Sus scrofa: one gene and its partners. The protein of the gene in region 1 binds, or shares a complex with, the protein of each later gene. Links are inferred from orthologs where the notes say so. Each region holds a gene or a part of one and is shown on either strand. Other genes may lie near its edges.

Region 1 (4,282 bases):
GGATAACAAAATTAACAAATGCCTTCATATGTTAATTTTTTAAGAATTGCAAATTTAAAAAATTACTATATGCCTAAAAAAAAATATGAGAAAATTACAACACTTCTAGATACTTCTACAACGGTCTGCATATTCATACAGAAGAAAGCAGTGGCAGAAATGACTCAAAGATGAATTAAACTTGGCTTCAAAAGTATTTTATGACTTTGTTAGGTAATGTTCCCCTGGTTACATTTTTAGGGTAATTAATGTAGCATGCCTTCCTTAGGCCCTGTCTGCCAAAAATTCATGAGAAAGCTAAAAAGAATAAAGAATAAAGTTTTTAAAGCCTTAAAAAGCCTGCCATAATAAGCATAATTCTGAGTAAAATAAAATAACCAGTGAAATGAAACATGAAGCTGAAATTTTATCTGGTTTCATACCCAACAATGTTCCACCCCCCCTCAATCTTAATTTGTAATACAAACGTTTTTGGGAAGAGTATACATGGCTACATCATTAGTTAGAAATGTAAGTTGCTTTCACCTGACAAGTCATGGTGAATAAGGTCAGCAAAATTGGGGTCTTCACCCCACCAAAATATCCACAATTCTCTTCTTCCAGGTCTTTGATCTCGCCGCCAAACACCAAGCACATCTGCCTTAAGGCAGCGACTAAAACTGCTCAAAATGGGGTCTTCCTCTGTCACCGGAAACAGAATAGGGGCAGAAGTTGGGCCTTGCCATACATATCTTTTCCACTTAATTCCCGTCAAGTCAGCCTGAAGAAAACAAAGTATGATTTTTTTATTAGGGCATATTCACTCAAAATCAAAAGCACTTGCTTTAAAGTCTCTTCATTAAGTCATTACAATTTTTAATGTATGCTCAGGATATCGAAAGCAGATTGACCCCAAAAATGTTTATTAGTTCTGATAATTCAATAACCAAAAATCAAAGGAAAAGAACAAAAACAATTTAAAAATTAACACTGACATGTCACTAAATAACAAGTCAATAAATGTGTCCCAAGGAGAAATAAAAGAAGCTTAATATTAAACATAAACATGTACTTTAACATTGCACACTGAGTAAACATTTGCTCTCTGTCCTAACTTCTGTTCTGACTGGTTACATTTGTTCCTTGGTGACAAACTTATAACAGAAAATTAATTTTTAAAGACTCATCATTCCATGTTTATAGAAGTCATGGCTCTAACGAAAAGAAACCTGAACTACAACTGAAAAAAAAATCTTGTTAAATCTTTACATATTCCTTTTAGGAAAAGTCAAATAGCTGCTGACAAAGAACCGTCAGATTTGTGCTAGTCTTATCTTCAAAGAACCTGATCCTAAAAGTACCAAAAATAGACTGAGTTGGAGAAGACAGAAATGTAAAACCCGCTGTCTTCTTACAGCTCAAGAGATGCAAATTAATGGACACTGTACAAGAAAACATTTTATTTTTTAGATAAAAATTAAAGATCTCAGTTTAGCATCGTGAAAAGAAATTCATTAGAGCGAACTTGTAATTCTGAATCTAACTTAAAGGTGCAAAGCGCAAGGTGCCAAAAATGAAACTGCTGATACATGACTGGCAGTTTACACTGGCCAACTAGTTGTGCTCCGCCCACTCAATTCACTTACCTATCACACACTCTCTTAATATTTCTCATAGGATAGGGAAAATGAAAAAAGAAAGTCACCTAAACTTTAAATCACTGATGAAGCTAAGTTACTATCCAATTGAAAACTAAATATTTGCAACAGTTGGTACTTTTGAAAGTCTTTATTGGATGTTCCCAGATCTGGGCCAACGTACACAATTATCATCCCTAAATCTAGCTTTCCCTGACTTTCCAATAAAAAAAGGAACAGCCCCCTCAAAATATGCTAAAAACGAAGGCAAATTAGACAAATACAAAAATATTTAGTGCAAAACCACAGCACCTCCTCCTCTGGTTCGCTCCACTCTCACAAACATAATGTTCTAATAAAAGCAAAATGGCTAAAAATTGTCAAAATGGCAAGTTGTTTTCAAAGTTTGAAGAAAAAACATATGAAATGGCATCTACTCCTTTTTACACAGAGCCTGAAGTCGCGCAAGGAAGAAACCAACCCCCCTATATAGTTTGACTCACAATAAAAAATGGACAACGAAAAGAGTGCTTAAGTTCCGGGGTCCGCTTTTTGGGGGGAAACCAGATGAGCAGAGTGAGACAGAAGGAGAACGGGCAATAATGGGTAAGTGTGAAGAAGGGATACACGGTCCATGAGGAGGAGAGCAACAGTTAAGCAAGAAACAGAGGGAAAGGCTAGTGTCCTGCCGGATAAGGAGCCCAAGTTAAAGACCAGACTACCAGAGGAGGGGGAAAAAGAGTCAGAAACGAGAAAAAGGGCCGACACTCGAAACACAGCGCCCGGGACCGCCGGAGAGGACCGCGGCCGCCGGGCTGGTGCCGAGCTGGCCGCCGCGCCGGCTCCGGCTCCGGCTGGGCCTAGCCCGGGGACTCCGGCATCTGGAACCGACCCGGACCCCCTCCCCCACGGCCCAAGGGCGCACCTCGCGGCCCCTCCCCCAACGCCCGCTCGCCGTGGCCCCCGCCCCGCACTCACCAGGCAGAAGAGGTTACAGTGACAATCTTCCAGGCTGGCCCCGTTCGGCACGAAGGAGGAACTCATCGTCCCTCACAGCAGCCGTCGCCGGCGCCACAACCCACCATCCGCCATTACCGCCGCCTCCGACCAGAGAGAGAAACACAGACACCGGGGAGGGCGGGGGGGTGGTGGTTGGGGGGCGGTGGAAGAGGAGGCCGCCGGGCCGCCCGCCCTCCCCACCCACCCCCCCGCCGCCGCGAGCAGTCCCCGCCGCCCGGCCGGCACCCAGCCGCCCGGGGCCGAGAGCCGGAGGCGGGAGGGCCGCGCCGCGCTCGCCCCGCGGGCCGGACTGCGGCCGCCGCGGAGCCCGCGGACGCCCGTCCCTCTCGGGGACAGAGGGGATGTGTGCCCCTGCCACAAGAAAATATAATAAATTACACAATAAATAATTAAAATCGAGTCCGAGAGGGCAGATCCCAGGCCCTGGAGGGCTCTCCCGGGCGGGGAGGCGCCCGCAGAGGGGCGGGAAGGGCGAGAACCGGGAGAGAAGCCCAGGCCCCCGACCCGGCAGCGGCGATGTCCTTAAGCCCAGAGTCTCCTCAGTGGCGGAGGTGGTGGCGGCGTCTGCGGGCTCAGACCATTCTCTGGCTGTGTCTTCGTGTCGTCCCTGGGCCAAGCCGGCCTAACGTCCGCTCTCCTGCGGCCTCACCGCCGGGACGCCGTAGTCTCCCCCATTTTGTGGGCCCAGCGGGCGGTGTTTTTCCCCCTTTAATCCGAATTCACGGGTTTTCCCTTCGCTTTAATGGCGGCCACAGGGACCAGCTCGCCCTCTCTGCTCGCCCATTGGCCGCCTGGAGGTCACGTGCGCCCGGGCTCCGTGGGGAGGGGGAGAGAGAAGGGAGCGAAGGAGAGCCGGGAAGCTTTCAGCAGAGGCGGTGAGCCCAGGGGGACTGGGCAGCCAGCTGGTGGCTACTAAGATAGCGCCATCTGCTGGGTGCCCCGGCCACCGTGAGATGACCCAGGGCCCTGGCCCTATCTTACTTCTTCCCGGGGAATTTACAGGGTTCACATAACAAATCTGGGAATTACGTTGAAATCCGTTTGAATTCCTTAGAAGTGTTGCAAAAATTCCTAGATCTTCTCCTTTATTCTACAAGGCCACTGGGGTGCAGCGCAAACCCGTGGGCCTGGGAGTTAGATCTGCGATAGGACTCAGCCGCTTGAAAGTTGTGATATTACGAACGAAACGTAAATGAAACAATATAGTCATGCGGCTAACAGCCTGGGAGTTAGAGCCCCACTGCTTGGGTTTGAAGCTTGAGAGAATCACTTACCTCTCTGTCTCAGTTTCCTCATCTGTAAAATGAGGAAAACATATCCCCTGCCTCACAGGGTTGTTGTGGTAATTGAATTAATACAAAGAAAGCAGGTAGACAAGTGCTGGGCACAGATATGCATTGTTTAGACTGATCTATTGTTGTTGTCATCATTACCTCATATGGTTATTGTAAGGAGTAAGTGAACCAGTGTATGTAAAGTGCCCATTAGAGTGTCATCTCCAGGAGAACTGGGACTTACTTTGGTTTTCCGCTATCTCTCTGGCGTCTTAAAAAAAAAAAAATTCCTAGCACACAGTAGGTGCTTGATACCTGTAAATTTGCAGATGAATTAATAGTAAGAAGTAGGAACCCAATAAGACATTAGTT
Region 2 (4,281 bases), on another chromosome or scaffold:
TATGCCAGAGCCACAGCAACGCGGGATCCGAGCCGCGTCTGCAACCTACACCACAGCTCACGGCAACGCGGATCGTTAACCCACTGAGCAAGGGCAGGGACCGAACCCGCAACCTCATGGTTCCTAGTCGGATTCGTTAACCACTGCGCCACGACGGGAACTCCCTGAATTTTTTAATAATAAAACATTTTTTAAAAAAGATGTTGAACTGGAGTTCCCGTTGTGGCGCAGTGGTTAACGAATCTGACTAGGAAGCATGAGGTTGCGGGTTCGATCCCTGGCCTCGCTCAGTGGGTTAAGGATCCTAAAAAACTGCCTCCCCCCAAAAAAAGATGTTGAACTATTGTGTGAGAAGAGACAGATGATCAAAAGTGGAAGCAATGCAATAAGCACAAAATTACTAAAATAGTTCAAAGGATGATAAACCAAGCCATTGCATGTGGAGAAAAGACATATTTAATATATATTTTGGAAGTAAAATAAACAGAACTAGAGATAAGCTATAGGTGAGAATAAAGTGAAAAAATGGAGATTGATTCCTGAATTCATAGCTTGAGCAACTGGTGAATGACAGGCACTTACTAAGATGGAAAAGACTGAAGGAGGGACAGCTGGAAGAATGAAAGTTAATAACCCTACTTCGTTCATATTAAGTTTTTTTTTTTTTTTTGTCTTTTCTAGGGCCTCTCCCCAGCATATGGAAGTTCCCAGGCTAGGGGTCTAATCTAGGAGCTGTAGCCGCCGGCCTACGCCAGAGCCACAGCAACGGTGGGATCCAAGCCGTGTCTGCAACCTACACCACAGCTCATGGTGACGCCAGATCCTTAACCCGCTGAGCAAGGCCAGGGATCGAACCTGCAACCTCATGGTTCCTAGTCGGATTCATTAACCACTGCACCATGACGGGAACTTCCATATTAAGTTCTTAAATGGATAATTCAAAGTCTAAACTTTTTTGCGAAACATTATAAGGCCTCCTGAAAATCATTACACTGAGTTTTGAGCTTTCTCATCTGGGCAAGTTACTTCAATTCTATTTCCTGATCTACAAGAATTAATAATAGTATCATAAAATTATCATATGATCCATTAATTTCACTTCTGGATATTTAACCAAAAGAATTCAAAGCAGGATCTTGGAAGAGATATTTGCATACACATGTTCACTGCATTATCCATGTTAACCAAGAGGTGGAAGCAACCTGAATGTCCAACAACAGAAGAACAGATAAAGAAAATGTGGTATATACATACTATAGAACATTATTCAGCCTTTAGAAAGGAGATCCTGTCTCGTGTGATAACACGGGTAAACGCTGAGGACATTATACTAAGTGAAATAAACCAGTCATAAAAAGACAGATACCATATGATTCCACTCATATAAAGTTATCTAACGTAGTCAAAATTAGAAACAGAAAGTAGAAAGGTTTGGAATTCTCCTGTGGTGCAGTGGGTTACTCATCCTGTGTTGTCATTGTAGCTGCCAGAGCTGCTCCTGTGGTGTGGGTTCGATCCCTGGCCTGGGAACTTCTATATGCCGTAGGTTCAGCAGAAAAGAAAATAAAAAAAGAAAAAAAAAAAAAGAAAGTAGAAAAGTTGTTGCCAAGGGCTGGGGGGAGGGGAAAGGAAGAATGAGTACAGAGTTTCAGTTTTGCAAGATGAAAAAGTTCTAGAGATTGGCTATACAACAATGCAAACATATTTAACACTACTAAATGTTATGCTCAAAATGTTTAATGCTATATGTTTGTGACCATAATTAAAGCCAAATTGAAAAAAAAAAAAAAAAGAGGTGCCAGAAATTATGTAGCCTTTGTATATTAGCCTTTCATCTCCATGGAACCTGAACAGAAAAGAGGAAATCAGGTAATCTAAGCTCCCTAGTTCACTTACCCTGCAGCAGGTACTCCATCATGTTAATGGTGCCCCCGGTGACAGGCATCATAGTGACTGGAGGTGCCTCCATGCTATCTGTTTAAGTTGAAAGCAACAGAACCGGATTCAGAGTCCCAGTCAAATAAAGCACAGGACACACCTGGAAAAGAGTTATGCTTGTTAATACATCAGAGAGATGGAGAGACACCAGATCTACCTGGGTCATTAGCCTTAACATCAAAAGATTCATTCATTCATCCAGAACTTTTTGAACAACTTCCATAAGTCAGTTTCAGGAATTGATGATACAGAAATACACAAAGGAGGCCTGATCATGGAGTTATAATCTTTCAGTCTCAAGGTCTGAAACCTTCAGTTTCAGAATTTCCTGTGCAATAAGCCATCAAACCGCTGACCCTGGGATTCAATGTCTTCCTTATAAAATGAGGTCGACATTTAACCCCCAAGGCTTTGTGGCTCAGATGACACAATAGCCGTGAAATAATAGAACTGAGAGGTGACTCCCCTTCAATTTGGAGATGAGGATACTGACACTTTGGGTGGGGGTTGGAGGGAAGGATACAGAGCAAGTCCATGGCAGAGATAAACCAGACAAAAATCTAGGCGTTCAAAACGCCTTTGAAAGCGAGCCAGACAGAAGTGCGAAGTTCTTCTGACGATTGAGGTCCTCCTACCCCACCATCGACGCGTGCCTACTCACACCAAAAACACACCTCCGCGCGTGTTCTAGCCTTTTCTGGCAAAGCAGGGAACTGAAGCCACCAGAGCACCTCGGAGCTTTTTAGCGATAATTAGCCCCCAGCACTGAACTTGAAGACCCCCACCCCCCGGTGGAGTGCAACACTTTCTCCCCTCCACTTCCGGCAAAAAGTCTCCGTCGCGCAAATCTTGACATCACCATTCTGCGACGTAAGGGTGCCGGGAAGGCATAAAAATCATCTCTGCGGCCTGGCAAGTAGAAGCGCATGCGCAAACTGCGATTCTGCGTGGAAGAGGGCGGCCTTCCTGAGCGCGTTCCTCGGGGCGTGAGGGGGACCTTGACATCAAAGGCAGTCCTCCCGGAAAATATTTTCCTTTTTTCAAGTGTGACGGCCTGGAGTTGTTTTTGTCAAGGAATTCTTTTGGAACTTACAGGGGGAAAAGAGAGCCGGGGGAAGAGAGCTGAAGAAAAAAAGAGATCATAAAACCAAAACTTCTTTTGGTTGAGTACCTGAAGATAAGAAGGAAAGACATCTTTTACTGTTTAGCAGACTGTTCTGAACAATTAGGGAACTCAGCAATACATTTGATATTTGTTCACTCTTCTGTGTTTATTTTACCTCAATTCAAAAATTTTGGGAGATAAGTAAATTCAGCTCATTTATTGAATGTTGCTTGTGTGTCAAGCATGTAAAATGCAAAGAATGGAGCTAGAGTATGGTGGTTGAGGCACTCCCTGGAGCGAAAAATTTAAGGGGCACCAAAACTCCTAACAATTCAAAAAATTGTAATGCAATCTTTTACGAATTTAATGTGGAAAAAAAATCCTTAATGAACAAAATATTGGAATTTTTGATCTTCACAGCAGCCCTGTAACCCAAGTATAATTATTACTTAATTTTACTAATGGAGAAACTTAGGCATCAAGAAATAACACACCAGGGAGTTTAGACTGGGGTACAAATTTAAGCAGCTGCCTGATTTCAGAACCCACCCTCTTAATTGCTACACATCTTTTTTTTTTTTTTCTTTTTAGGGCTGCACCCTGGCATATGAAAGTTCCCAGGTTAGGGGTTGAATCAGAGCTTCAGGTGCTGACCTATGCCACAGCCACAGCAATGTGCGATCTGAGCCGCATCTGTGACCTACACCACAGCTCATGGCAATCCTGGACCCCCAACTCACCGAGCAAGGCATATAGAAGTTCCCAGGCCAGGGTTGAATCGGAGCTGTAGCCCCTGGCCTACGCTACAGCCACAGCTGTGCCAGATCGAAGCCAAGTCTGCAACTACACCACAGTTCATGGCAATGTTGGATCCTTAACTCACTGACTGGGGCTGGGGATGGAACCTGCATCCTCATGGGTACTAGTTAGATTCATTTCTGCTGAGCCATGATGGGAACTCCTATACAGTCATTTATAATTCCAGTTTCCCCTGCTGTAATTTATACTGTCTTACTCATTTACATTTTTAAACTTAAAAAAAATATTACCCACATTTTATCTGACATTTCAAAAGTAGGATTAAATTAAAAAAAAAAGAATAGGTAAGAATTGGGTGAACAATATGGTAAAACTTGGACAAGACTCATGATTTATAGGGATGGAGAAAATGTTATAAGAATGTGAGGCCTCAGAGTTCCCACTATGGAGCAGCAGGAACGAATCCGACTAGGAACCAT
Region 3 (4,123 bases), on another chromosome or scaffold:
CTTACCTGGAACACAATGGCTTCACCAGGGATTATTTCATATTCGTTACTATTCTTCTCTATATACCAGTCAACCCAACTCTCACACCACATTCCTTTTCCCTTCTATCCTAGAAAAAATGTTTTCCAGTATTCTTATACAATTCTTTACACCAACCTCTCCTGCCTTTGGGTCTTTCCATATGATTTTCTTCCTGCTTCAGGCACTAGCTTAAAATTGTCACCTCTAAAGATATTACTTCTCTGATTATTCATCAAAAACAGATTCTTCCTTTCCTCTTTTACTCTCTGTACCAGAATCTGATTTGTTGCCCCAGTCAGACTATAAGCTACAAGGGGAAGGACTATAACTATCACAGCTCTCACTGTGTCAATTGCGCACAAAAGCTTCATAAATATTTGCTGGTAGCTCCATTCATTTCAAAAGGGTTCCAAACCAGTGGAAATTTGGAAGTAGGTACAAACATCTTTAACATGCATTTATTCCTTCAAACATTTACTGTTTGTCTAATATATGATAATGATGATTATGACAGATAATATTTGTAGTGTATACTATGTGCCAGACACTGTTCTTAATTACTTTTCTCATGGTTATGAGAAATCTAAGAAAAGAAAAGTGCTCTTTCCAATTTGGAGATGAGACCACTGTGGCTCAGAAAGGTTGACCCACTTCTATAAAGTCACAGAGTAAAGGAAGGATCCAGAGTCTGAGAATGTCAAACACTACACCATTCTCTCTCTTAAGAAACACTGCCTCCATCCTAGCGTTGCTTAAAAATCTATCAAGGAAAATGGACAACAGATAACTACACGGCTTAAGGGTGCTACAAAAGACCAACAGATCTGACTACCAAAAACAAATCTAAAAACCATATAGAAAAGTATATCATAAACGAAATTAAAAAACAATCCCATTTTTCTGGGAGAAGAATGCTTGCAAGCTAACAAAGGACAAATACTAGGAATTTAATTTTGATTTTTTTACTGACTCCATCCCCACAAGAAGAAAAGCACTACGACTTCAGGAACTGTCTGTCTTATTCAAAAATGTACCTCCAGTATTTCAAGCAATGCCTAGAAGGTGCTAAATCCTCAATAAAGATTCAATGAGTTGTGGTTGTTTTTAACCTATATTTTTAAAAATTAATAGAAAAACAGGCAAAAGATGACAAAGAAAATGGAAATGTGAATAAAAGCTTGAAAACATTCAGACTAATGCACCGTTAAAAGCAAATTTTAAAAAGGATCCTTCCCATCTAACAGACTATTAAGATTTCAACTATTCCATCATTCAACAAACATCAGAACACCTTCCATGCAGTGGGCCCTGGATCCCGGACCTGGGGCTCCCAGAACACTCCCCTTCCTCTCGGTGCCCTCAGAGTGGCCGTCTCAATTTTAGAAGCAGGTTTCCCAATTTCAGAAGCAGGCTAGGGGTCAATTCCGAGCTACCGCTGGCGGCCAATGCCACGGCTCACCACAAGGCCAAATCCTTAACCCACTGAGTGGGCCAGGAGTCGAACCCGCAACCTCATGGTTCCAGGTCGGATTCCTCTCCGCTGCGCCACGACGGGAACTCCAGTATCACTGTTTTATACCCTCCCTTACTTAAGCTTCGTAATATTTCTGTGAGTTTAATACCACTATCGATTTCATTTTAGAGCTGATAATTACAAGTCTGTCTCATTGAGAGGGAGTGTCTGCAACCAGATCAAAAAGCTAATAAATGGCAGAGCAGGAATTCTTATCTAGGTCCTTTTTGTTGCACCATCAAGCTCTCTCAAATCAGTGAAGTACCAAGAGCCTAACAATACAAAAAAAACTTGATATACTACAGAAATTATGTTTCTCTCTCCATCACTTCTCTCAGCTGAACTTGTCAAAAGCGATGGAAGTCTCTGGTAAAACCAGCGCCAGGCATCACAGGTGGTGATCAGATTGAAGATCCACCTTTCAGTGTCTGTTTCGTTTTGGAGGACTTAACTAAAACAGAAAGGTATTCCAGGGTGCCAGTCCCAGAGGTTTTGCTCACTTCTCTACTGTGAAGGGGGACGCTTAAAAGCTGCCTTCAAAACCTCTCTGGATGATCTGATGATGAGGCTATAGTTCTACCTCCTTCCCAGCCTCCCACTATTTCATGTGATTAGAGGACTGATCCCCGAGGGAGGGTTGGTTATCTCATAAAGCCGGAGGGGCCAAGAGACTTGCAGAGGCTACACAAACCAGCGGCACACGACTGGAACTCAGCTCCCCGGACCTCCGGCGCAGCTCGAGATCCCGACTCGGAAGCAGCCCGCAGCCCACTGCGCGGAGAGCACCTTCCTCCAGGCGCTCTACCCGGCGGCTCCGCGGGGGTCGGGGAGGCCGCGCTCCCCGAAGGGCGCGGGAGAGGAAGGTGGGCGAGCACACTATGCGCCAAGCCTCCCACCACTCCCAGCCCGCCGGGAGGAAGCGGCGGGGTCCGGAAGGAGAAATGCAGCGGACGGAACCGAGCCCCAAGTCGTCGCCGCCCACTCACCTCGGTACTGGGTTTACACTGGTAACCGCCTTCGCCACCACAGCCGAAGTCCAACTTCCGGCCTCCTCTTCCCGGAAGAAGCTACTGGTGCTGTCTCTTGACTGGCGGAAAGAGCTGTCCTTTAACCCAGGCTCTAGTCCCGCCTCAGACCGATGGCTCGCTATTGCGCCTGCGCATAACCTCCTCTCTCCCCGCTCTTTCCGCGATTTGGCGGCAGCCGCAGGGTTTGGGGTGTTGGAGTCTTTTCTTGTGCTTTTTCTATCAGTAGCAGTGGCACGTGGTAGCGTCGTTTCTTTTTTTGCTGTTTTTTTTTAACGCTTAAAATTAAAGCATCCATATGCCTTACATAAACTTTAAAAAATAGAGACAAGCAGCTATTTTTAAACGTTACATTTAAAAAAATGTTACCCCACTGTCAAAAACAACATTTAAATAAATACATAAATAAATAATTTTAAAAATAACCTTAAGAAATGAGATTGGACTCCACATGCTGGAAATAATTTGGAACATGGAAATCTTAATCTCGAAATATGTGTGAAAATGGTTGGGAAGCAACATATTCTTAATTTATATTTCTTCACCGTCCATTCAGTTTTATTCACGTATTCAGATTCTGTTACATTTCCAGGCAACAAATTAACAAGCATAAAACAAAACGATATGTAAGAGTTTCTTCTGGAGGCGACTTTCAAGAAGTGCTACACATTTCTAAATTTGTGGGAATCTTACAAAAAAGCATGCTACCAAGACACGGCTCGGATCCCGCCTTGCTGTGGCCCTGGCTTACGCTGGCAGCTACAGCTCCAATTGGACTCCTAGCCTGGAAACCTCCATATGCAGTGGGTGCAGCCCTAAAAAGACAGAAAGACAAAAAAAAAAAAAAAAAAAAAAAAAAGATTTTTTTATTCCAGTTTTTAAAACTTACTATGAAGCGTTCCAAACATATATAGAAGTAGAGAATAGTCTCTACTTTCAATTTCAATAATTATCTACCTATAGACATTATTTCAGTTCAGTATGCATTTCTGAAAGATAAAGACTTGTTTGGGGGTTTTATTGTTGTTTTCATTGAACCACAGAACCACTGTCTCATTTAAAAATAAGTTAATAACTTGATTTAGTTTCATCAATGAAATCAGTATGAAAATACCAAATGTCTGAAGATGCAATGAAGTCTTTTGTGACTAGCTGATGTATCTTTTTATTATCTTTTTTTTTTTTTTTTTTTTTTTGGCTTTTTAGGGCCACACTCCAGGGCATATGGAGGTTCCCAGGCTAGGGGTCTAATTGGAACTGTAGCTGCTGACCTAGACCACAGCCACAGCAATGCAAGATCCAAGCCACGTCTGTGAACTACACCAGAGCTCAGGGCAAAGCTGGATCCTTAACCCACTGGGCAAGATCAGGGATCAAACTTTCATCCTCACAGATGCTAGTCAGGTTCATTAACTGCTGAGCCACAATGGGAACTCCTCTTTCTATTATCTTTTAATCTATAGTTTCCTTCCTCCATTTCAGTCCCCCCCCCCACACACATCAATTTATTTGTTGAAGAAATATGTTCACTTTTTTTTTGTTTTCGTTTTTTGGCTTTTTGACT
Region 4 (4,057 bases), on another chromosome or scaffold:
ACAGAGGCTAGATCCTGTAGTACTGGTGATTACAATGAGGAATACAAATTAACGAGAAATCCAAGCCTTTTTGGCATTTGTGGACAATGGGAAACAGAAGAACTTCAGAAGAACTCAGCACCCCAAGTGATGCAACAGGAAAGCTGAAGAAGTTTCTGAAACACTGAGGTTCTTGAGGAAAATCTAAATGAAGATCCAAAACTTCAGTAGGTAAATACACTTTATCAAACAGATAATGCTACACTCAAAAATCAGGAATCAAATGTGGATATGCACTCCTCCAGGTACTGAGGGCATCAGGTAAACACACCTCAGATACCCAACCCAGGAGCCAATCAATCCAGAGGCAAGATGGAAAGATTTGACTTCAGGGTTGTTCAGTGTCAAGAGACATTCTCAAAGACCGTTATCCTGGAAGGGCAGGTTTAGAAACAGTTCCTGAACTTGGTGAATATGAAATATATACTACGGTTACTCTGCAAGTAAAGCAGAGAAAAGAAATGAATTTACTGGGTTCCAGATTAGAAGGGTGAGAAGTAACAGTTCACCGAATAAACCAAGGCAAAGATTTAAAATTATCATATTTCAAATTTCAATTTCTACTCAAAACCCAGCATCCACTACTTCCCAAAAGAGGTATCACTTCTTCACAAAGTCAACATATTCATAGAAAAATTAATTGCTACCACCTACATCACATAGTTGGTCAAAACGAAGAAATTATAAGGAACATTTTTTACTTGACTAATTTTACACTCATCATCTGACAGTTGGTCCTATCTATTTATTTATTTTTTGTTTTTTTAGGGCCACACCTGCAGCATGTGGAGGTTCCCAGGCTAGGGGTCGAATCAGAGCTGTAGCCGCTGGCCTACACCACAGCCACAGCAACCAGGATCTGAGCCATGTATTCGACCTACACCACAGCTCACGGCAACACCAGATCCTTAACCCACTGAGGAGGCCAGGGATCGAACCCGCAACCTCATGGTTCATAGTCAGATTCCTTTCCTCTGCGTCACGACAGGAACTCGGATACTTGAATAATTTAACTGAAAACCTCATACTCGGAGAACTCAGTCTCGCCAAGGTCTTTTTACTAAGAAATCATGCTGATATTCATCTGATAGGATTAACTAAAGAAGCTGACAAATTCTCCACAAGCCAGGAAGTGAATCAACATGAAGGAAATAGCACATGAATTAATCTGTGTGAACATTTACACAGAGGAAACATTAAGATTGCTGTCTTATGCCCATGAGTTCCTTGTTCACTGTACTGACGCCAAAATTCCACGTGTCCTTTTTGTCACTACAAGGTATTTCAATCTAATAGCCTAAACAGTGAATTAAACACATAAGCTATTTAACTTCCGGTGTCTATGTGTTTTTACATTTTTAGCATCAGGTTACTTAGTATATTAAAACATCATTTGGTATCACATTGACCAAGGAATCTGGTAAGTAATGCTTGCCATGTATGGCAAGGCCTGAACTCACAGCAAAGATAAAAATGTAATTATTAGTAGATCAGATAATACAATTACAGACATACCTCAGAGATACTTCAGGTTCAGTTTTCCACATCAATGCAATGATGTGACTACCACAATAAAGTGACTCAGTTTTTGGTTTTTCAGTGCATATAAAAGTTATGTTTACACTATACCGTAGTCTATTAAGTGTGCCATGGCATTATGTCTAAAAAACAATTATACATTAAAGAAAACAGCATTAATTTAAAAATAATGCTGACGGAAAAATGGTACCAACAGACCTGATTGACACATGGTTGTCACAAACCTTCAATTTGTAAAAAATGCAATATGTGCAAAGTGCAATAAAGTGTAACAAGGTGTGCCTGTATATAGTAAGATTTAGAATGTTGATTACAGAAAAAGGGACACTTGAACAGGATTCTGGAGGATAAATGAATCAGGTTGGAGGTGGAGTGGAAACGCACTGAAGAAAAGGAAGCTGGGAAGCAGTTCACCGAGGCTGGAATAAAGGATATTACTGGAGGGCTGAGAAGTGCAGCGACAACAGGATGGATTAACAGGATGAATGCCCTTGCTGGACATTCTAAGCTAAAGAGTCTGAATTAACTTCCTCTAGAGAGTGCATTCGTTTCTCCAGGGAGCCTGCCCTGACGACAAGGGGGACAGACGCCTAGCGCCCCTGCTGCAGCAGCCTCCAATCCAAACAGGCTCCGCGCCACAGTTACTGTTTACACGTCTGTCTACCCCGGACACTGGGCTCGTCTACGTCAGTATCTAGTCTCCCTCAGGACCGTCTCCCAGCGCGGGACCGGCGGGAGGAGCTCCTTACATGTCTGTCGAAGGCCGGTGGACGAAGCGACTCTCCCGGCGACCTCTAAGGTCCCTACGATTCTGAGAGTCTGGGGTTCCAGAGTCACTGGCAGTATTAAAATGTCCTCTATGGGGGTGGGGCGGGAATGCCGGCGAGTCCCCGAGGGTTGCGGGCCTACGTCCACGACCCTCGCGCACTGCCTCCGAAGCGCGCGCCGCAGTCCCGGAGTGCGGCCCTCCCCGCCGAGACCCAGGAACCAGCCTGAGTCAATGCTCCCGGCCCAGCTCCAGCCAGGCCCCCAGGCGACGGCCTCACCTGGACAAGACCTCTAGGTCTTCCAGCGCAGAAAGCAGCCGCTCGCGAGTGCTGTTGCCGCTCGCCGCTCCCAAACCGCCGCCGCCCGACCGCTCCTTCTCCTTCTCGCCGCTCGAAGACGCCGCCATCCTCCCGACACACTAACAGCCGGCGCGTGCGCAGCTGCGCTCTAAGGAAGAGTGTCGGTCCGCGGGCGGAAGGAAGGGTCACAGAGGCGAGGTAGAGAGCCTGGGCCAGAGCGCCCCCTGCGCGCCTGGAGGTGTCTTGCAGGCGCCGGCGCCATCTGCTGGGCTAGTGAGGGCTTCTTGGGTCCAACCCGCGAGCGAGGGCCAAACCCAGAACTGGGGGCCCAACGCGGTCAGGTTTCCAGCACCTTAGCTTATTCAAGCAGCTGCTCAGTGGAGTTTGTTTGTTTGTTTTTTCCTTTTTTTTGGCCGCCTCGCGGGCATACGGAGTTCCTGGGCCAAGGATCAAATCCCAGATACATTTGTGACCTACCAATCGCTGGATCCTTTAACCCACTGTGCCAGCTGGGGATCAAACCCGCGTCCCAGTGCTGCAGAGATGCCCCTAATAGTGTTGGGCTGTGCCACAGTGGGAACTCCTGCTCAAGGGCATTTGTGGGAATTACATAATGGCCTGCATCTTGTGTCAGTGTCTTTGAGCAATGGGCCGGGGACCTACCGGATTTATCGCTGTTTAGTCTGCGTTCCCATAATGCTATTTCCACCCTCTGTTCGGGCTCTCAGGGAGGCTGTGAGCTCTTTAGGACAGGAAATGTAATCCTTATTTTCTTTAATTTTTTTTTTCTGTGGTCACATGCATTCAGCATAAAATTACTGTGTTAATGGTGTGTAAGTGTACAATTCACTGGAATTAGGTATATTCATATTGTTGTGCTACCAACACCAGCATCCTCTGGCCTTTCTGTAGTCACACCCCTTCATTCATTCGGCTCCAGTCATTCTGGTTCTCAAGCACCAGGACGCTCCTGCCTTAGGGCATTGGCACTGCTGTTCTCCCTGCCTTCATGGGTTGCCCCCCAGAAAGTCACAAGGCCATCTGCTCTTGGGACACAAACTGCACTTTCTTCGGGACCCCCACCCTGGCCACCTTGTTTACAACTGCCGTCTCACCTCCACCTTCCGCCACCTTTACCCAGCTCTTCATTTTTTCCTACAGCATTTGTCATCTTCTAACATTTCACCTAAGTCAGTTGATGTGTGCTCTGCTAATTGTCTCCTCCACTAGGATATAAACTCCATGAGGGCAGAGTCTCTTGGAACTTCTCAAAGACCTAGCCCCAGTCTCAGAATACTGTCTGAAACACGGTGAGTCCCAATAACTATTATTGGATTTGTTGTTGACAGAGGTGCTGAAATCATCAGAAACTGAAAACAAACTGTAGTTATCTATAGTTTTGCCTCTAATTG
Region 5 (3,500 bases), on another chromosome or scaffold:
TAATAAGAAAATTTCTTTAGCCTAAGTAATTCTTTTACTTCAGGAAATAATTCCTTTGTGTAGTAAAATAAACCTAGTAAATAGTGGCATGGTGTACAATGTGCTATTAAATACAATGTGCTAATTACTTGAAATAAAAATATCAATATAGAATTTCTCACTAAAAAAAAGAAAAAGAAGTTTTATTACTATCTATTAATGCTTTAAAAAATTCAGGTTTTTATTTAAAGCAACAAAATTCTATGTTCTCTGGTGGTGAATAGATGCATGTACTACAAGACTTAGTACATTTATTTAGGAATAGGATATTTTTCTTTGAAATAAATCTCTTCTCTAAGGTCTTTTTTCTTTTTTTAGGGCTGCATCCACAGCATATGGAGGTTCCCAGGCTAGGGGTCTAATTGGACCCGTAGCGCTGGCCTACATCATAGCCACAACAACGCAAGATTCGAGCTGTGTCTATAACCTATACCATAGCTCACGGCAACACCGGATCCTTGACCCACTGAGCGAGGCCAGGGATCGAATCCTCCTCGTTCTCATGGCTAATGGTCAGATTCGTTTCCGCTGAGCCATGAAGGCGGAAATATAAATTTTTAAATATAAATTTTTTTAAATATAAATTTTAGTGGAGTAAATTTCTACCTACATGGCATGCTGCTACTAATTTAAGATTTCAAAACCTTTACAGAAGCAAAAATTAAAACATAAAACATTAAAAAACCTGAAGTCTTGGAACATATAAAAAGACAACATATGTTCACACATATCGACATACAGTTATTTCTGCAGAGACTGGAAAAGCACAATAAAAAGGATATTATCTACTAGTCTGCCAATCAATTTGCAATAGTAGGAGTCATCGGGGACCCAGGGATTGTCTTCTCGTGCGTTCATAGCACATTTCAGGTAAGTGTCACTTAGACACCAGCCCTGTGGTCGGTTATCCTTGAGCGACCCAATGATTGCATGGACAAGTTTTCGTTTGAGACTTTCACGATTTCTCAGGTGCATTTCATAATAGTGCAGAGTATTATACAAATAAGTTACTGGACGATCTGCCAAGAAGAAAAGAGGTCACTACAATGTTTACCTGGTTACTGACAACTGTGAAAAAATAACCTTCTATTTTTAAGATTACCAATAAATAGCTCAGAAGGTTATGAAAACTACTTCACATGTTGGCCAAGTGCATACAATGAATGTTTTTATCCTAGGACAAGGCAAAAGGCTTCTAACAATATACAGAGCTTATATTGAAGGATATTTATCACATTCTGAGGTCACAATTCCACTTCTGGAAATTTACTCTGCAAAAAATGTCATAAATGTAAGCAATGTCGCTGAAGCCCTGCTTATACCAGCAAAAGATCAAAACAGCCTAAAGAGTGAAAAACAGTGGACAGGTTAACTTAATTACCGCATATAAGAAGCAGCTTTGTATGTACTGATACAAATTTATCAACCCCAATACATTAGAAAGGTTAGAAAGGTTAAAAAAAAAAAAAGGTGCAGAACAATGTGTAGTATTACATATTTGTGGGAAAAAGACTACCAACCTCACAATATTTATGGTACGATACACAAGAAAGTGGTAACAGAAATTGCTTATAGAGAAAGAAACTGCTGAACTAGAGCACAGGCTTGGGACTAACTACTTTACACTTCATTATGTGCATATATTATCCGATCCAAAAGAAAAGTATTTTTATTTTTAAAATTTTTTTTCTTTTTAGGGCTGTACCCACAGCATACGGAAATTCACAGGCTAGGGGTCACATTGGAGCTGTAGATGCAGGCCTACACCACAGCAACGCTGGATCGTTAACCCACTGAGCAAGGCCAAGGATTGAACCTGCATCCTCATGGATGCTATTCAGATTTGTTTCCGCTGAGCCACGAAAGGAACTCCAGAGAAGTGTTTTTAAAAGACTGCTCCCTTGAACTTCATACTTACTCTACAGTGCTAAAACATAATTCAGATTTGTTTTGGAGGAAGACTTCTTACACCAAGGATTAAGAAGAACTACCCCCCAAATAAACACTCTGTCCCCATAGTGGCTACTCCAAGACTTCCACACTCTGTCACTGATTTCACTATTCTCCAGTTATCAAGCTTAAAACATCATAGAGCTGTCTTTGCTTTCTTTTGATATTCCCCCCATAACTGGTCAATCAAGCCCAATTCTTACTTCCTTGACTATCTGTCCCTTCTTTCTCATTCAAGGCCATCATACTTGTTTAGATGCTAATACAACTGAATGTCTTGTTATAAGTCTTTAAAATGACTTCCTCCTTCCAAGTTGTCCATATTGGAATTACAACTGACTAGATTTATCTTTCTAAAATAATACTATGACATGACTTAACTCAGTAACTTCTAGTTAATGCTTGATTATCTTTAGGTTATAAAATCAGAACTTCTGAGCCTGGCATTTACGGTGATCTGCCATCAGGTACAATTTAGCCCAACGAGACGACTGTTTTCAAAATGCCTTGTTTTTAACATCTCCATGATTCTTCCAAAAGATTTTTTCTGCCTAGTATGTTCTCTTCTCCTTCCTATTTATATAAATCCCATACATCATAGTTCAAACCCTAACCATCCAAGAAGCCCACTAAGATCTATTTAGTTCACAGTAACACCAGTCTGTTCTGAACTTATTTTTTTTCCTTCTGTACTGATTTGGAAATTAATCACACAATATATACAACAAGGCTTCTCTTGCATATTACTTTTTTTTTTTTTTTGCTCTGATCTGTTGATATTTTTATGTCATTTATTTTACATTTCATGGCATCATCACACATACCTCCTCTCAAAACACTTATATTAAAATTATTAAAATAAAACCTTTAGAATCACCATTATCCATTTGGTCATGACCAGCCTACTTTTGTCTACAGGGCTATTAGATGGAATTAAAATTTGAAAAAGCTCACCATGAAATTTATACAAGCCTCCCAGGTGATCTAGTAGAGTCTCCAATGATTTGGATACTGGGAGCAATTCTAAAAATCTGTGGATTACTATATCAAATACTGGAAGGAAGCGGAGACACACATTTCCAAAATAGATGGGCAGGTAGGGAGACTGGATCGGCACAGGAGGATCAACCTGCTCTGCCAGGCCCTCAAAATAGAGCTTCTCCGGATATTTCTGTGGAAATGAGGAAATGGTAAATGTTGAGGCATGTTTTTTTTTTTTTTCTCCTTAAAGGAGCTAAACTTGTCGTTTTTCACAGAATCTGAAACTGTTTGCTGCTACAATAAAATGAAACTTAAGAGTCCTTTTATCCAACAAAAAATCTCTACTGTTTCAAAGATACATTTACATACATAATTCTTTTCATTTTTTAAGTACTCATGTCTACTAAAACTATAGTTTTAATTTATTCTGAACATTACAGATAGCCTCTAGAACCTTGAGAAAGTTAAGAGAGCTAATTCACTTCTATACGGACCAGAGAGAAAACAGTAGAGCTGCAGAGAAAACAGCC
Region 6 (3,289 bases), about 14 Mb from region 1:
AGTGAGGCCGGGGGTCGAATCTGAGTCCTCATGGATGCTAGTTGGGTTCGTTAACCATTGAGCCACGATGGGAACTCCTCTGTGGTGATGCCTTTTTTTTTTCTTTTTTTGTCTTTTCACACCCATACCTGCAGCATATGGAGGTTCCCAGGCTAGGGGTCTAATTGGAGCTGTAGCCTCGACCTACACCACAGCCACAGCAACGCGGGATCCGAGCTGTGTCTGCGACCTACACTACAGCTCACCCCCCTGGCAACACCGGATCCTTAACCCACTGAGCGAGGCCAGGGATCAAACCCGCAACCTCATGGTTCCTAGTCGGATTTGTTAGCCACTGTGCCACAACGGGACCTCCTGTGGTGATATTCTTGATTCCATCATTCTCTGTTCATTTATTAGTTGGAATTCACTTGAAGGAACGTTTCCTTGTTTCTGATTTCTTTCTTCATTTTAAAAGGTTAAATCAATATGGATTCTTTATCTTGTGGATTGTAATTTTTTATTTTCTTATGCTAGTGATCCCAGATGTAGCCAGTGGGAACCCCTTCAAATTGGCTCTTGAGGACTTTTGACATAGCCGCCTAATCTTTAGAGCATTTTCCTTTCTGGCACTACATATATTCCAGGCTCATCTTGTTCTTTCCCTGTGTTAGCTATGCCAACAAACCCTGGATAATGCTATTTAAAACCCACGACCTGGATACTCAGTGTACTCTTGGTACTGGAGTGCCATTGCTTCTAGGCCTTCTCTGCACGTAAAGCAAGGAACAGTGTGTGTGTGTGTGTGTGTGTGTGTGTGTGTGTGTGTGTGTGTGTGTGTGTCTATGTGTCTATTTCTGTATCTGTCTCTATATGTTAAAAGCCACTCAGTTCATACTGATGTTTTCAATTCCAGCTCAACAACAGGATTCTTTCTAGCCTCCCCCCTTCCTTATCTGAGATTCCTTTCCTGAGAGCTGGATATTTGGCTATTTACAGTGTACATACTTATGTATTTGCTCAATCTTAGCATATATGTACATAATTTCAAAATTGTTATATCCCTATGGAAAACTAGGATACAATATTTGTGCATAGTTCTTTCTGAAACTGACTCACTTTTAAAATAAAAGCTGTCTTTTTATCATTATTTATGGAAAACCAATAGGTGTTAATTAAACCCACAATTACTAAAATAAATAGTGTTCATGTTTATCACCTTGAAAACCACTGGAATAGAATAGCATGATTTGCCCCCAAATGTTGACTGTTTACCAGTTATTGTGTAGTCTTAGGCAAGTTATTTAATCTTTCTAAATTTAAGTTTGCTCACTTTTGAAAATTTTGCTGGCTTTTGATGATAAGCTTTTCTGTATAAGCAAAAAAAAAAAAAAAAGAACTGTACTATCAAGATAGACTAAGTTAATGTTAGGTTGCAGGATCATCTGGTATGGTAACACAAATGATACCGTAGAAATGGTAGGCTGCAGGATCGTTTTTGAATAACAACTAGAGCATGGTGTTATTGACTTAATTATGTTGATAATTAACTTATAAACTTAACCCCAGGTACCCTCAGTGTTTACACATGTTAGAACTGCTCCAATATGAACACTTCCGCAAGGAGCTGGTGAATGCTCAATGTGCAAAATTCATTGATGAGCAGCAAATTCTGCATTGGCAGCACTATTCCCGGAAGCGGATGCGCCTTCAGCAAGCCCTGGCAGAGCAGCAACAGCAAAATAACACATCAGGAAAGTGAAAAGCTGATCCAGACCAGGCTCTTACGACATGTATATATTGCTTTTGTACATGAAGACAGAAAAAGACTCTTGCTCCGAACCTTTATTGTGACAGCACCCAGAACCGATAGTGTGCTATTTAATTGAACTAATTTTTTATTCTCAATAGATTATTTCTTTTAAACTAGAATTGTTCTTTCTCTGTGGATCTGTAAGCTTTCATTAGTATTTAATAGTCAACTGACTAAGAGTAGAAATGTTAGGTGCTTCAGACCAATTTTAGAGTTGGGGAGCTGGGGCAAGGGGAGAGCCACCAAATATCCCAAAGTTTAAGCAAAACTGTTCATGATGAACAGTGGGACCAGGGGCAAATCTGTCTCTAGGAACCTTGCTGTCCCCTCAGATCAGCTACGGCACCCTTCTAAGGAGTGAGAGAAGTGGAATCAGTGACCTCTACACATCAAAGCAGGAACTGCATAAATTTCCTACATTCTGCAGGGCAGGAGGCATACCTGGAGCACCAGCTACTTTGCAGGAGAGCCTTAAGGGAGAATTGAGGTCAGGGAGTGTTTGTGGTTAATTACTAATAGGACTCTCGACCTTAGACTATAACAAAGGTGAGGTGCCTCAGATACTTGTGCTCATTTGGGAAAGCTAACTTTTTTTTTTTGGCAGATACCACAAACCAGGCACTATGTTAAGTGCTTAGTTGCATTCTCATTTTATCCTTAGAACAGTCCTTGTTCATAAAGGAGAACACTTAGGTGTAGACAAGTTAGGAACCTTGCCTGTGGTTACACAGCTAGTAGGTGATAGTCAGTGAGACTGGCTAAAAGGCTAGGTTATATGGCCTCCCACCACTAGGTTGTATGGCTTCTGACCTCTCCGCCACCTGCCTCATCCCGCACAATCAGACAGCTGTAAAACAAAAGCAGGGGCTGGATTAGATGTGCCTTGCTATCCTTCAGTGGTTAGATTAAGTTCTACATTCTAAAGCCAAAGATGTTTTAGGATAACAGTTCTTTTGTAAGTTCATGGAATTTAAAGTAAAAGATCCTAACTTCTTTAGAAGTCTGGAAACTATCTTCTTCACTATCAGCGGCTTTTAGATATTTCTGCCCATCTCCAATAATATCCTCCCCTTTGGGCTACTACTGCTACTCCTGAAGACTTAGTTTATCCTTAGTTCAAACATATCCATATATTAAAGCAGACTAAGGGTTCATGAGCATTTTAATTGTACTCTCTATTATTTAGACATACACAGTTTTTCTTTTAATCATCATTTATTTATTGCTAACATGAATTCAAAGCAAGTGTGCAGTTTCTTTTATACTAGAGCAAATCAGGAAATCAAGACACAATTGCCATCATCAAATCTTACTCTTCAGAGAACAACATCTCCACGAGGTTGGTCTGAAGACACTCAGATTCTACCAGTTTTTGAGGCTGTAAAAGAAGAACAGTCTTATTTTAACCCATCACTACAAAAATGTTATTAGGAGGGGAATGAGTTCTGCCTTGAATGACACAGATCTTGGAACAGAAATTATCAACTAGTTGTAACA
Region 7 (3,500 bases), on another chromosome or scaffold:
TAAAATCAATATATAAAGTCTACAAAGTACCTGTTTGGAGGAGGTTTTGGTTTCGGCATCTTACTAAGGATAGTTGCCATCTCTTTCCTCTCATCAAAATTCTTCCACTGCTCATACAGTTTTAAAATAACCCTGATTATTTCCAAAATCTAGAAGAAAATATTTGAAAAGTTCTCTACGGCAATATCAAGCAACACTTAGTATATAAAGAAGACATATCACGTATTAGATATCCCTCAGAAAACAGTGAAAAGATTGCCCCTGTCCTTCAGCTTAGATTAGACAATCCTGATAAATGTGAAAGCACTATTTTTACCATACAGCAATTTCGGCTTTTACTCCTAACCTCTCATCTTTAATATGTATACCTGGTCTATCCTTATCCATCTCCGCAGTTAGTTTCCTTCTATCTATTGATATCTTAAACCAAACCAAAATATTGAGGTACTAAGGAACAGAGGTCTAGATTATGAAGAGTATGCCACTACAGAGTATACTCCTCTAATAACAATCATTTCAAATAATTTAGTGGGCAGTAGTGCACAAAAGACTTTGTTCTGATTCTCTATTAACTACGCTACACATGAGTGAAGGTGCTCAAAAACCAGCAGCTACAAATCTCTCAAATCTGCTTTCCAAATCTGCCCTTTCTTCACCTGAGTAGACCTAACCTTGGATTGATTCTAGAATATTTCAGCAAAAAAGGTAGAAAAAAGGGCAAAAACTACTTTGTCAGGAGATAGGCTGTATTACAAAAGTTTACAGTAGTATTCACTAGGTCACTTGTCACCAGGCAGCTTTTAAAACAGTCCCAGGAGTTCTCTGGTAGCTAAGGATTATGCATTGTTACTGCTGTGGCTCAGGTTTGATCCCTGACATGGGAATTTTTGCATGCTGAGGGCTCGGCCAAAATATAATCAGAGCTAAAATAATCCTTGGAGTTCCCATCGTGGCTCAGTGGTTAACGAATCCGACTAGGAACCATGAGGTTGTGGGTTAGATCCCTGGCCTTGTTCGGTGGGTTAAGGATCCAGCGTTGCCCTGAGCTGTGGCATAGGTTGCAAATGAGGCTTGGATTCTGAGCTGCTGTGGCTGTGGTGTAGGCTGGCTGCTACAGCTCTGATTAGACCCCTAGCCTGGGAACTTCCATATGCTGCAGGTGCAGCCCTAGAAAAGACAATTAATTAATTACTTAATTAAAATAAAATAAAATAAAATAAAATAATCCTGGCAATTAGAGGCTGCTTTGCAACCATCAAACCCTAAATTTACCATTCTATTTAAGCCTAAACTGAAGAGAAATATAACCTAAATAGTCACATATTTCTTAGCGTTTCTTTACCAAAAATATTCTTAGCCTGGCTGACATCATGAAATTTGAGTCTCATGGTAAGTAAGTATAACATTAATTTTAAAATGTTCAAGTTTACATTCAGTCAAGGAAACTTTAAAAATTACCTTCTCCATGTCCACAGAAAGCTCAGCAAACCACTGTCTGGCATCTTTCTGCTGTACAACACAGGCTACATGCAGGCAGGCTGGAAAGAAAATGAGACAAAGGTCCATGTTTTAAGTGCAAACATGGAATGCATGGACTCACTTAAGATTTTAAAAGTCACCTAAAACTTTATGTGTATTTTCTTATATTCCTTTTAATATTTATATAGATTCATGTAACAGTTACCAGTGATCACCCTATTAATTTAATCTTACATATAGGAAAAGTTATTGGGCTACATATAGTAAAGTTCTCCCCACTGAGAGCTAGTCATGGTGCGGTTGCCTTGAGAGTCAGGGCATGTCAGAGAGGAAAAAATCCACTGAGGAACTATAGCAGGAAAGGATCCCTGAACAGCAGTACAAAGCAGTGGTGAAAATGCACCCAAAAGTCCATGTGACAAAAAGAAACAAAAATTTAGCAATCAAAACACTGATAAATGTCAACAACACTGACTATGTTTTGGTATTTCAATTAAAAGTAGCAGTCCCTCTGTTTTTTAAAGTTATTAACATAAGATCAAGTTAGGTATAAACTGGGCACACTAGCACAGAGTTTGATGTTATAATCAAATAGAGCTGAGGGGAAAAAAAGTAATATACTCCACACAATGTAATTATATACATTATTTACAACATAAACTAACAAAGATAGTGAAAGACTCAGAGGCAACAATCTACATCATAAATTTACCTAATATAATTCTCCCAACCAGCCTGGCTATAGTGATCCCACACAAAGTTGTTAAGTGTTATAGTCCCTAGTCTGGTTACCCATAAGACTTTGCTAAGAAGGATATTCTAGGCAAACAGCAACTCAAACATGAACTTACATACTGGCTGCCCTATGTTAAACAAAGCTGTAAAGTAAGGCTTAGGTCAAGGACAGATTGAGATCAAAAGACAAATTATAAAAACATGTAATTAGGGAGTTCTAGCTGTGGCACAGTTGGTTAATAATCTGGCTTATCTCTGTGGCAGAGCAGGTTTGATCCCTGGCCTGGCGCAGAAGGTTAAAGATCTGGTGTTGCTGCAGCTGTGGTGGAGGTCACAGCTGCAGCTCAGATTTGATCTCTGGCCTGGAACTTCCACATGCCATGGGTATGGCCAAAAAGGAAAATGAATGAATGAATGAATAAATAAATACAGGTAATGAAAATACAGTGGAAAATGACATAAGTCACACATAAAGTAAATTAGGAACAGAGGAGACATTCTAAACCCAGACTGAGGTGATACAGAAAGTGCCACTAACAAGATAGAGGAGTCAGCTTTTTAAAAAAGTGAACTGGGGAGTTCCTGTCGTGGCGCAGTGGAAACGAATCCGACCAGGAATCATCAGATTGCGGGTTTGATCCCTGGCCTCGCTCAGTGGGTTAACGACCTGGTGTTGCCATGAGCTGTGGTGTAGGTCAGACGCGGCTCGAACTGGCGCTGCTGTGGCATAGGCCAGCAGCAACAGCTCTGATTAGACCCCTAGCCTGGGAACCTCCATATGCCACAGGTGCAGCCCTAAAAAGACAAAAGACAAAAGACAAAAAAACAAAAAACAAAACAAAAAAAAAAAACCCAAAAATGTGAATTGGGAGCAGAAATGGTAAAAAGAAGGTGTGAATTTTATCCAGAAATTGGGAGGAGCACTGAAAGATTTTAATAGGGGTATAAATCCTGCATTTTATTATTTTATTTTATTTTTTGGCCTCGCCTGCAGCATGTAGAAGGTTCTTAGGACGGAGTTCCCATTATGGGTCTGTGGGTTCTGAACCTGACTAGTATCCATGAAGATGTGGGTTTGATTCCTGGCCCTGCTCAGCAGGTTAAGGATCCAGCGTTGCTGTGGATGTGGCATAGGCCAGCAGCTGCAGCTCTGATTAAACTGTAACCTATACCACAGCAGTGACAATGTCAGATTCTTAACTGCTAGGCCACCAAGAACTTCCAAATTCCGCATTTAAAACAGTTCTTTAGAGCTCAGTTTCTCAACCTTGGCACTACTGACATCA

The links.
Region 2: MED13 (region 1) and MED18 share a complex: the UniProt entries of both Homo sapiens proteins name them as parts of the mediator complex. The link is inferred for Sus scrofa from reciprocal best matches to the Homo sapiens genes MED13 and MED18.
Region 3: MED13 (region 1) and MED7 share a complex: the UniProt entries of both Homo sapiens proteins name them as parts of the mediator complex. The link is inferred for Sus scrofa from reciprocal best matches to the Homo sapiens genes MED13 and MED7.
Region 4: MED13 (region 1) and MED4 share a complex: the UniProt entries of both Homo sapiens proteins name them as parts of the mediator complex. The link is inferred for Sus scrofa from reciprocal best matches to the Homo sapiens genes MED13 and MED4.
Region 5: MED13 (region 1) and MED23 share a complex: the UniProt entries of both Homo sapiens proteins name them as parts of the mediator complex. The link is inferred for Sus scrofa from reciprocal best matches to the Homo sapiens genes MED13 and MED23.
Region 6: MED13 (region 1) and MED31 share a complex: the UniProt entries of both Homo sapiens proteins name them as parts of the mediator complex. The link is inferred for Sus scrofa from reciprocal best matches to the Homo sapiens genes MED13 and MED31.
Region 7: the proteins of MED13 (region 1) and CCNC are in contact, whole or in part, in a cryo-EM structure (PDB 8TQC), measured with the Homo sapiens proteins. The link is inferred for Sus scrofa from reciprocal best matches to the Homo sapiens genes MED13 and CCNC. Residues at the interface, in NP_005112.2 of Homo sapiens: Tyr1342, Ser1630, His1631, Val1732, Lys1733, Thr1734, Thr1736, Phe1738, Gly1739, Pro1740, Gly1741, Ala1743, Arg1897, Met1898, Ile1901, Asp1905; in NP_005181.2 of Homo sapiens: Gln7, Gln13, Trp14, Leu16, Gln19, Lys23, Gln26, Lys27, Arg75, Tyr76, Glu144, Leu145, Asp147, Cys148, Ser221.

The regions. Positions count from the first base shown.
Region 1 is NC_010454.4:36,332,259-36,336,540, reverse strand, and holds the start of MED13 (mediator of RNA polymerase II transcription subunit 13), read right to left. Parts: upstream 2,801-4,282; 5' UTR 2,661-2,800; coding exon 2,595-2,660; intron 761-2,594; coding exon 526-760; intron 1-525. UniProt on the Homo sapiens protein: Component of the Mediator complex, a coactivator involved in the regulated transcription of nearly all RNA polymerase II-dependent genes.
Region 2 is NC_010448.4:85,382,604-85,386,884, reverse strand, and holds the start of MED18 (mediator of RNA polymerase II transcription subunit 18), read right to left. Parts: upstream 2,801-4,281; 5' UTR 2,600-2,800; intron 2,039-2,599; 5' UTR 1,970-2,038; coding exon 1,897-1,969; intron 1-1,896. UniProt on the Homo sapiens protein: Component of the Mediator complex, a coactivator involved in the regulated transcription of nearly all RNA polymerase II-dependent genes.
Region 3 is NC_010458.4:66,113,273-66,117,395, reverse strand, and holds the start of MED7 (mediator of RNA polymerase II transcription subunit 7), read right to left. Parts: upstream 2,801-4,123; 5' UTR 2,521-2,800; exon of another isoform or gene 2,226-2,520; intron 1-2,225. UniProt on the Homo sapiens protein: Component of the Mediator complex, a coactivator involved in the regulated transcription of nearly all RNA polymerase II-dependent genes.
Region 4 is NC_010453.5:19,550,601-19,554,657, reverse strand, and holds the start of MED4 (mediator of RNA polymerase II transcription subunit 4), read right to left. Parts: upstream 2,801-4,057; 5' UTR 2,753-2,800; coding exon 2,625-2,752; intron 1-2,624. UniProt on the Homo sapiens protein: Component of the Mediator complex, a coactivator involved in the regulated transcription of nearly all RNA polymerase II-dependent genes.
Region 5 is NC_010443.5:31,991,207-31,994,706, reverse strand, and holds part of MED23 (mediator of RNA polymerase II transcription subunit 23), read right to left. Parts: intron 3,161-3,500; coding exon 2,944-3,160; intron 1,059-2,943; coding exon 822-1,058; intron 1-821. UniProt on the Homo sapiens protein: Required for transcriptional activation subsequent to the assembly of the pre-initiation complex. Component of the Mediator complex, a coactivator involved in the regulated transcription of nearly all RNA polymerase II-dependent genes.
Region 6 is NC_010454.4:50,731,681-50,734,969, forward strand, and holds the end of MED31 (mediator of RNA polymerase II transcription subunit 31), read left to right. Parts: intron 1-1,548; coding exon 1,549-1,741; 3' UTR 1,742-2,789; downstream 2,790-3,289. Other genes in the region: TXNDC17 (thioredoxin domain-containing protein 17), read right to left, coding at 3,102-3,170. UniProt on the Homo sapiens protein: Component of the Mediator complex, a coactivator involved in the regulated transcription of nearly all RNA polymerase II-dependent genes.
Region 7 is NC_010443.5:66,475,755-66,479,254, forward strand, and holds part of CCNC (cyclin-C), read right to left. Parts: intron 1,539-3,500; coding exon 1,459-1,538; intron 150-1,458; coding exon 31-149; intron 1-30. UniProt on the Homo sapiens protein: Component of the Mediator complex, a coactivator involved in regulated gene transcription of nearly all RNA polymerase II-dependent genes.